Linked DNA regions of Schizosaccharomyces pombe. The gene in region 2 interacts genetically with the main gene of each other region. Each region holds a gene or a part of one and is shown on either strand. Other genes may lie near its edges. The genes, in order: spo20 and prp31.

Region 1 (4,130 bases), on a different chromosome or scaffold from region 2:
CGCTGGCTTTTTTAAAAGTCCTTGAGCTTTATCGATAGAATAGTCCTATATTCATACGTCTTAGTTAAATAAAATCCGTTTACAATTTCAAAAATTCACTTACAGCTTTTTCAAAGAGTATGTCTAATGTGTCCGATACTTCTGCCCATCTATTATCTATATCTTCAACGTCCACAATATCCTCCGCCCGACTTCTGTCTACTTTAGAAAGAAGCAATTCAATTAATCTCATAAAACGAGAAGAAACACTTTTTATGTTTTCATTGAATTCGGTATCAATTGATTTATAAAACGGTATATCAACCTTTGCCAATTCAGAGCAATAGGCTGTACTATTCATTAAACCCTTAAACAATTCTGACTCATCCATTATGCTATTGTTTACCCTACTGGATCAGTAAGGTTTTTGGTTTGGTTCAGGAATTTTCAAGCACTTTTACCACACGCTCAACGAATTACCGAACTTGAATATAGACATCGTTAAAGTACGAAATACAAGAGCTATTTTTATATATATAAAATATTTTACACAAATGCAAAATCTTAGCAGAATTATGTAAAAGCAATTATTTATGATTAGTTCAAAATTGTGAAACTATTAGCAGGCAACTATAGAGAGGTCTTTTATAATATAGGCATTCAATTTTGATCAAAAAGTAAAAAAATAATCAAAGTAGATGAATTACAAATTTAAAAACTTCGGATAATCTAGAATGGATGAAACAATCAAATCAGTTGGATCATCGAGCGTCCTTTTTTGGAAAATTAATGAACGATATATGTATTGAGACCTTCTATAAGGATTAAGAATTGTAACAGCAACCATCCCATGATGTTGATGATGGATCAACACATGACTTTCGAAATAAAATATTTATATATGCTTCGATCTATATACGATAATTTCGTCGAATAGTAAACCGTAAGTAGAAGGAAGTACCTGAGATGCTGAGTAAAAATAGAACGAAGACCTTTAAGAACTAAAACGCAGAACAAAGTTGAAAGATCGGCAAAAACTCTACACACTATTACTCTTATCAAAGGACAAACCACATTCATCTATTCTAGCAATTAAATCCCGTTCGGAGAAAGAAGTCTAATTTTTGTTCATCCACTGTTCTTCATGCCATGGACCGGCGTCAGATAGTTCGCAGCCACCTGGACATTGGCAGTTTCCACCGAGTTTAGCAGGAAGATTATCAGCAGGGATTTGTTCGAGCAGAGCACTCTTATAGTTTGAGCCTAAAATATGAATTTTTTTGACAGTTGCCTCATCCAAAAAACCTTTGATAAGATTAAAGGCAGAAGAGAATCCCCAAGGAGCGTTAATTACATAAAACTTGCCCATCCTTTCGGGGTAATAATCTTGACTCTTTAACGTGTTAATACTTGAAAAAAAAAAAAAAGAACAAAAATTTCAACATTTTCAACTTACAATGCTTGATGCTTGACGAATGTAGCTGTAAACCGAGTGAATACTAGTAATACCAACACCCTTTAGATCCATGATTGTGCACGAAGTTTCAATCAAGCCTCCTGCTTTACGAGAACAAGCGGGCTGAAGACGGTTAATAAAGATGAAAAGAAATATCAAAATGAAAAAATATATCACAAAAAATTCAACACAGTAGAAAACCAAAAGTTTTTCTATTAAAAAGCCGAAAAACCAGCCTTATATGGAATATGCAAATCCAAAGGAAAGGTTTGATTATGAGAATTACTGGAGATACATTTAATCATTTGAATTTACTTACAAACCGTTTTAAAGCAAGCATTTCATATTCATAAACCAAATTTTGCATCATACGCTCGGGAGTCGTGATTTGGTACAACTTCTTCAAATCAATGTTACCGAGTTGCTCAACGTATACCGGACGGCCGTCGATGTCAGTTTTATGATAAAATTGAGGGTAATATTTGGAAACGGCTTCTTTCTCATCATAATGAAAGTTTTTGATAAGATCATCAACACCAAATTCTTTTCTCCACTTTTCGCATTTAATAAACATTTCCAGCGACTGTTGCAAATTAAATTTACGGGCTCTCAAAAAACGCAACTAAGAATCCATTAGTACAAACACAAAGTTTCCTGCTGTACAACTTACTAAAGTGGCATCGTCTAATCTTTCCGTGTATCCAAGTTTTTGTAACTCTAAACGCATGCTATCTAGCGTAGCTTGCTGTGTAGAATTCAAATGCCCTGGGTGCCCTAATGGAGCATTTGGATTAGTTAGAGGATAAGGATCCGATATAGTTTCTGACATCTTTTTGTTTAGACGATGGTTGTAGAGAGAAGACCTAATGACCCAGTCTGTACAAGATGTATAAAGGAAAAGGAAGAACGTCAGCGACCTTAATACTAGTGGTCATCAGCCGTGGGGGATCAGTCAAGCGTGGGGGCCTTTTACCTACTACCGCAGGAACCTTTGTTGCCATGCTACACCCAACGCTATTGTTATATGTGAGTATGAGGATAAACTTCAGTGTTAAAAATCAGATGAGAGGAAGAAGCTCCTCGTATGAGGTTTAAATTGTGTATAACCAATTTTTCAACTTGCATGAAAAGTGCGACAAATTTGAGATGCAGAATGGCCTTCAACGAGGCGTTGAAGGTAAATAAAACATGGGGAAAAAGTGACAATTTAACTTTGTGGAAGCATTTTTTCTTTACCAAAAAAAACGAACGATAGATAATGTTTATTTTATTTAAGCCTTTGAGTGCGCTTGTGGTGATTTTCTGTCATCAATATTTATGCACCTGACAGCTTTGAAAGAGTAAACCAGGCACTAAGAAGCGTTATAGTACATAGAGTATAGAATATGTAAATGGATGATCATATTGCGATTTTGAGATTGTTGTCTATGTAAAAACGGTATAGGAGTATCGTAGCTGGATATTTATGTGAAGTAAAACAGTTCAATTTTATGATTGTTCAGTTTTCGTATTATAAATGAGGAGTAGAAAATTGTCATAGAGTTGTGATTAAAAAAGAACTTTAAATAAGCAAATATAGTAAAGGAAAAGAAATTTTATTGCAAATGGAAAAATATTTCGTGAATAAGCAATTTAACAAAAAATACATATTGAAACGTAAATAAAGTAATACTATACGACATAAAAAATAAAATAAAATAAAATCTAAAGAATGAATAAAATAAATAATAATTAGACTAACAGCCACTTAAATATATATACAAAATTTTTTTAAAAACTAGTTTTGTCTCGCAAACGTAATTATTGTTTCCTTCTCTTTCGATCGAACTTCAGCCATAATTTTGAAAGCGTTTCTTCCACGCAAAGTTTAACAAAACATACAAGAGTGAAAGGCATTGCTTGAATGGACAGTCCATTTTGTACTTGCATAAAATTTTCAAGTTAGTATCAAATTTTCTACATGTTAGCAATAATACATTTATTTACATTGATTTTACCTTTAAAGACCTATAACAATATAAATTTTTGATTATTATATTAACGTTACGGAAGGATAGTATAATCGTCAAAATATCGTTATAATTTAACAAACGAATAAATGCAGGAAACAATGCATTACGCAAGCTTGTTACTAAAGGCAGGAAGCATAGTTTGAATATAGGATGAAAACCGTGGATATCAATGTTATAAGCATTTAACATTGAATAAGTATGGTAGAGGTGAAAAGAATCAGTACTACGTTTCTTAATTGGCAACCTTGCACCTCAAACCCAGCTGAAGTGTACTTTGCACACGAGTCTATTACTACATGGTTTTTTTATACATATTAAATAATAGCAATGGTTATTTGAACTGCAATAACGGTAACCCTACCCCGATATCTCCAAGTTTGAAAATTTACTGCTTTTATGAAAATTTAGTTTACAGTTTGTTTTGGAAACGATTATGCTATCAGTGCAGAAGCTGAAAAAAAGAAAATTTCGGGATAGTAAAATTGTTTTCATGTCATTTCCCTGGCGGTGGTTTTGAAAAGCCCGAAGTTCCATTCATTTGAGTGGCAACTTAATTTTTCATCTATTTAAAGGATGCAATTTTAGTACCACTCCGCCGTATCTTCTACCTAAGACATAAAGTTGTGAAGAAGAAAAAAAAATAAAGGTAGTTGGAAGAAAACCATCTGCATAAATTTCCTTTT
Region 2 (4,433 bases):
ATCAAAAGAGTACGAAGATTTGCAAAATGAGTTAGATGCTACACAGAAAAGGCTTTCAAGGGTCTCTGATTTGGAGCACGAGGTGAAAGAAAAAACCCTACTTATTGGTAAACTGCAGCACGAGGCCGTTGTTTTGAATGAACATCTTACAAAGGCTCTCTGCATGCTTAAAGATGGAAATAATGCAGAAAAAATTGACAAACAACTTATTTCTAATTTGTTTGTCTCCTTTTTGACGCTTCCTCGCGCTGACACTAAACGTTTCGAAATATTGCAATTAATTTCTTCCGTGTTAGATTGGAACGATACGCAAAGGGAACAAACGGGACTTCAACGTCCTGGTTCCTCTGTAAATAATTGGAGTATTCCTCACAGTGCGTCCTCTAACTCTCTATTCTCCGATCATTCCTTTTCCAAAAGACGTTCTTTCCATGACTCATAATTTTCTTCCACACTAACCGATAATTTTACGTTTCAATTGAGCAATGGTATGAAAGATTTTTCTTTTTTCTGTAAATAATAATATCTTTCGCTCTTTTTATGTATCGCTTTTTTTTTTCTTACTTCACAACTTAATTAGGGGTTACCTTTTGCCGCGCGTACAAGGTTTTAGTATTTTTTTACTCTCTTTTCACACATTTTGAAGGTTGACTATATCATTCTTGAAGTAATAGTTTCATACGTTCATTTTGATATTTTGCCTTCTCCTGCTATGCCTAGCTTTATGGCAAAAGCGCTTGTTGCAATTTCATCTATTAGTCAATATTCTTAATTTTCAAAATTGTTTGTTAATATCAGTTTTTTCGAAGAATTTTAAAAATATCATTTTATTTTAATCACTCAGGTCATAGTTATGGTCTGTATTACTAGTATGCAAAAGCAACATAGCTATATGCAAAGTAACTAATCATTATGAAGACATTATTATGAAAATTTATTTTTCGGCTCATTAGAATCCTTCTTTATCTGTGTAAAAACACCATCACGAAACCATTTGTTGGCCTCTTCTACTTTTTGTTGTCGTTGAAGTAAGGGGTTCACTAGTTCAATGCCTTGAATAGGTGTGAAGGATAATGAACTTTGTAAACCGCTTGCAGCAAGGGGATTCTTCTGTGCCATTGATTGTAGTTGGGCCTTCCGCGCTTTTGGTAACCGTAATTTAGTTCGAGAATCAATTGACACTGCACGAATTTTTCCTTCACCTTCTTGACCAAGCATACCAAGACCTTCCGTTTCGTCAAAATTAAAGACTTCCGCCTCCTCCTTACCAAAGGCGACGCGATTCTGTAATCTCCGCAATTCCGTTACGGCATATTGCTCTTTCATCTTGCGAATTCTTCTTCCTCCACGACGACGTTTTGGCCTATCGTCAGGAACGGGTAGCGCAACAGTTGGTTTCTGTGATGGAGGTTCCAAAAGCTTTTCAATTTTCCGTTCAACTTCCTTTCGAGCAGATATGCCAAATGAGCCATCAGGATATTCATGAATGGAATCGATTCTTGCTGCTAAAGCAACTTTAGCAGCAGTCATTCGGATAGCTTGCTTTCGTACATCAGGAGGGGTCTTTTGAACAATTTCCGACATATACAAAAATCCATAATCCCCACTAACAGCCGGATTGTTAATACCAATTGTTGTCAGCCTCCTTTTTCCGAGCGCTGGTAAATTGCAAGCAGGAAACTTTCCAAGTCTAGTCAATCCTCCTGCAATGCCGATTAAATTGGCAGCTGTGGTAGAACCCACGACTGCAGACAAATTAGGAGCTACGACACTAATTCTTGATTGGACATATTCAATAATTTTTTGCTTTTCTTCACCCAATTGCTGAATTGCCTCACAGCAATTTTTAACGTTTTTTATCATTTCATCTGGAAGAGGCTTTCCCACTGTTGTCGTTGCTGTTGTAGCAATAACCATCACTGTAGCAGAAGGAAGAAAGGAAAGTTTGGTTTTGCTGTTGTCTAAATCATTTAACAGAGAACTAACAGTTTTGCAATAGTCAAAGGCATTCAAGACCAAACTACTTAATTCAGGAAATCGGTCATGATACCATTCCTTCACGAGTCTGTGCAGCCGCAGGATTTCATCGTCAATTTCCATCGCAATTGAATTAGAATCCACGATAAGGTGATATTCGAGATCATCTTCGATGTTTCCAGTGATAGCTTGTTTTTCGGTGCCTTTATATTTCTCAGTTCCTTCTATGATATCGCGAAGACGTGTAGAATTCAACAGCTGATAAATGTTCTCATTATTGTCATTAAATTTATTAGCAACTTCACTAGGCAATTTTTGAGCAGAATCGCTAATTTTGGTAATATCCAAATCGTTTTCTAATTCAGCAGAAATGCCATTTCCTTCCTCTAATTGTAACTCTAACCGCCTTTTCTTCGCATCTGGCCCAAGTTCATCAGTAATTGTAGATTCTGTAGTTTCCTCAATATCATCAAGATCAGCTAATAATTCATCTGCCAGTGACATTATATTGGTTAAAATCCTTGCCTAATGAAAAACTTTTTGTCAAGCGTAGTTGCCAGAAAAAGAAAAAAAAATAACAAAGCTGGTTCTGGAAGTCTAAGATTTCACTAAAAAAAAGACTAATGAATAATTCAAAAATAGGACGTAATCAGCAAACGCCAGGATAGTAATGTACAAAATAGATGTATGTGGCTATTTAATAGAACTGCAACTTTTTATAGGCTTAATAGCACTAATCGTGCAAATTTGAAGATTAATGCAAATAAATAAGTAAAAATAAGATTCAAATTCGCTTTATTGACAAGTTCCAAGTGGAGTGTCAAACTTGAACTGGCATGGGGTATTTTGCTTAGTGCTCTACACATACTAGACAACCACGTTACTACGGTCATAGGGAATTGGGATCGAAAACTGCTTGATTCATTTCTTCAAGTTTGTTAAATTTTTTTCGTTCATTTTTTTTTTCCTTGACAAGGAAATTGGTTTAATTGATCTGGAGAAAATTCATTCATTCAACAGTTTGGAAAAGTATCAAGATTACTGAATCCAACTATGTCGTCCTCTGTTAGTGAAGAATGTACCCCTGCTAAGGTAGAGTTTTCTTTATATGATAAACACTGTGGACGAATTTTAGCTGACTAAATTATGAACAGAAGAAGTATGATGCCTGCTTTAACGATTGGTATGCGAATAAATTCTTAAAAGGTGATCTCCATAATAGAGACTGTGATGAGCTCTTTGCCGAGTACAAATCATGTCTTTTGAAGGCTTTGAAAACGAAAAAAATAGATCCTCTTCTTGAAGCAGCACGCAAAGAAGATTAAAGTAAGAGCATCTTTGGATATATGATTTTTAAGGTTGCTTTGAAAGATAGCAGTACCATGGAATAAAGCTCTTCTTTTAAAACGGGTGAAAAAGTGATAAGCATCTGTGCAATTGTAAGTTTATCAGAATTGTAGGTAACGAAATATCTCTGCCATGAAGCAAGTATACACTTCTAAAGGTGTTGTTTAAGAACATATGATTCGGCATATCCTTTTGCTGGCAAACCAATAATTCTCTAAAAGGGTAGTTGACTAAGATCATACTAAGTAAAATGATATGAACATCTTTTCATTGGACTCACCTTTGTAGAAAACTTGTAAGAATATACTTATAATCAAAGAATTGAATGGTATTCCTTCTTAATTAGTCTATTTTCACTTCGACATGCAAAAACATTATTTTGGCAAAAATTCGACACCAGCAGGATTTGAACCTGCGCGCGGAGACCGCAACAGATTTCTAGTCTGTCCCTTTAACCACTCAGGCATAGTGTCCAAGTCTGTCACTAAAAAATATATAACATATACATATTAACTACATCAGTCGCAGTTAAACAATAAAAATTTGAATGAATGAAAAAAAATACTGTAAATGTCAATTGATTTTTATCATTTTTAAATAAATAAAATTTGTAACTGTTAAGTCAAATTTCGAACCTCTACGTTTAGGAAAAGCTTTGCATGAATGTTCAGTATTTTCTTTATTAGTTTTGGAACTATTGTATTCAAAAGTACACTGAGTCCAGTAGTAATCAGTTCTGTTGAGAATTTCATACTATTGATTGTAATTGATATACGGTATTAAGAAGCTGAAAGTTGAAGTGCAGTCAATTTCCTTTGTAAAACATGTCTTTCATAGTTAGGTAGCAAATTGGTATATTAGAGTTTAATTGCAGATTATTAATCAAAAACAAATTTTTACCTAAAATATTATGCGTTACGCCAAATTTTGAGTCGTTAACCTAGCAATTGCACAAGGGCAAACAATAAAAACGAGTGGGTGATGGAATTAATAAGACCAGGTTTGTTTTTGCTAGCTTCTGCAGCGCAGTTTATTTATAGAAAATATTGTTATTATTTTTAGTTAATGAAAATTTGGGTTTTTTTATATATAATTTTCCTAAGAGTCGT

What was found.
Region 1: mutations in prp31 (region 2) and spo20 together harm fitness more than expected from each alone (negative genetic interaction), as found in Schizosaccharomyces pombe (one large-scale study listed by BioGRID).

Annotation. Positions count from the first base shown.
Region 1 is NC_003424.3:607,126-611,255, reverse strand, and holds spo20 (sec14 cytosolic factor family, phospholipid-intermembrane transfer protein Spo20/Sec14), read right to left. Parts: upstream 2,288-4,130; 5' UTR 2,265-2,287; coding exon 2,106-2,264; intron 2,058-2,105; coding exon 1,755-2,057; intron 1,728-1,754; exon of another isoform or gene 1,559-1,727; coding exon 1,436-1,558; exon of another isoform or gene 1,414-1,435; intron 1,373-1,413; coding exon 1,097-1,372; 3' UTR 553-1,096; downstream 1-552. Other genes in the region: exosome 3'-5' exoribonuclease subunit Rrp6, read right to left, coding at 1-45, 104-370. UniProt on the Schizosaccharomyces pombe protein: Required for transport of secretory proteins from the Golgi complex. Catalyzes the transfer of phosphatidylinositol and phosphatidylcholine between membranes in vitro. Essential for viability and secretion.
Region 2 is NC_003423.3:741,039-745,471, forward strand, and holds prp31 (U4/U6 x U5 tri-snRNP complex subunit Prp31), read right to left. Parts: upstream 2,806-4,433; 5' UTR 2,482-2,805; coding exon 925-2,481; 3' UTR 798-924; downstream 1-797. Other genes in the region: golgin protein Rud3, read left to right, coding at 1-442; protein Mdm35, read left to right, coding at 3,031-3,069, 3,132-3,302.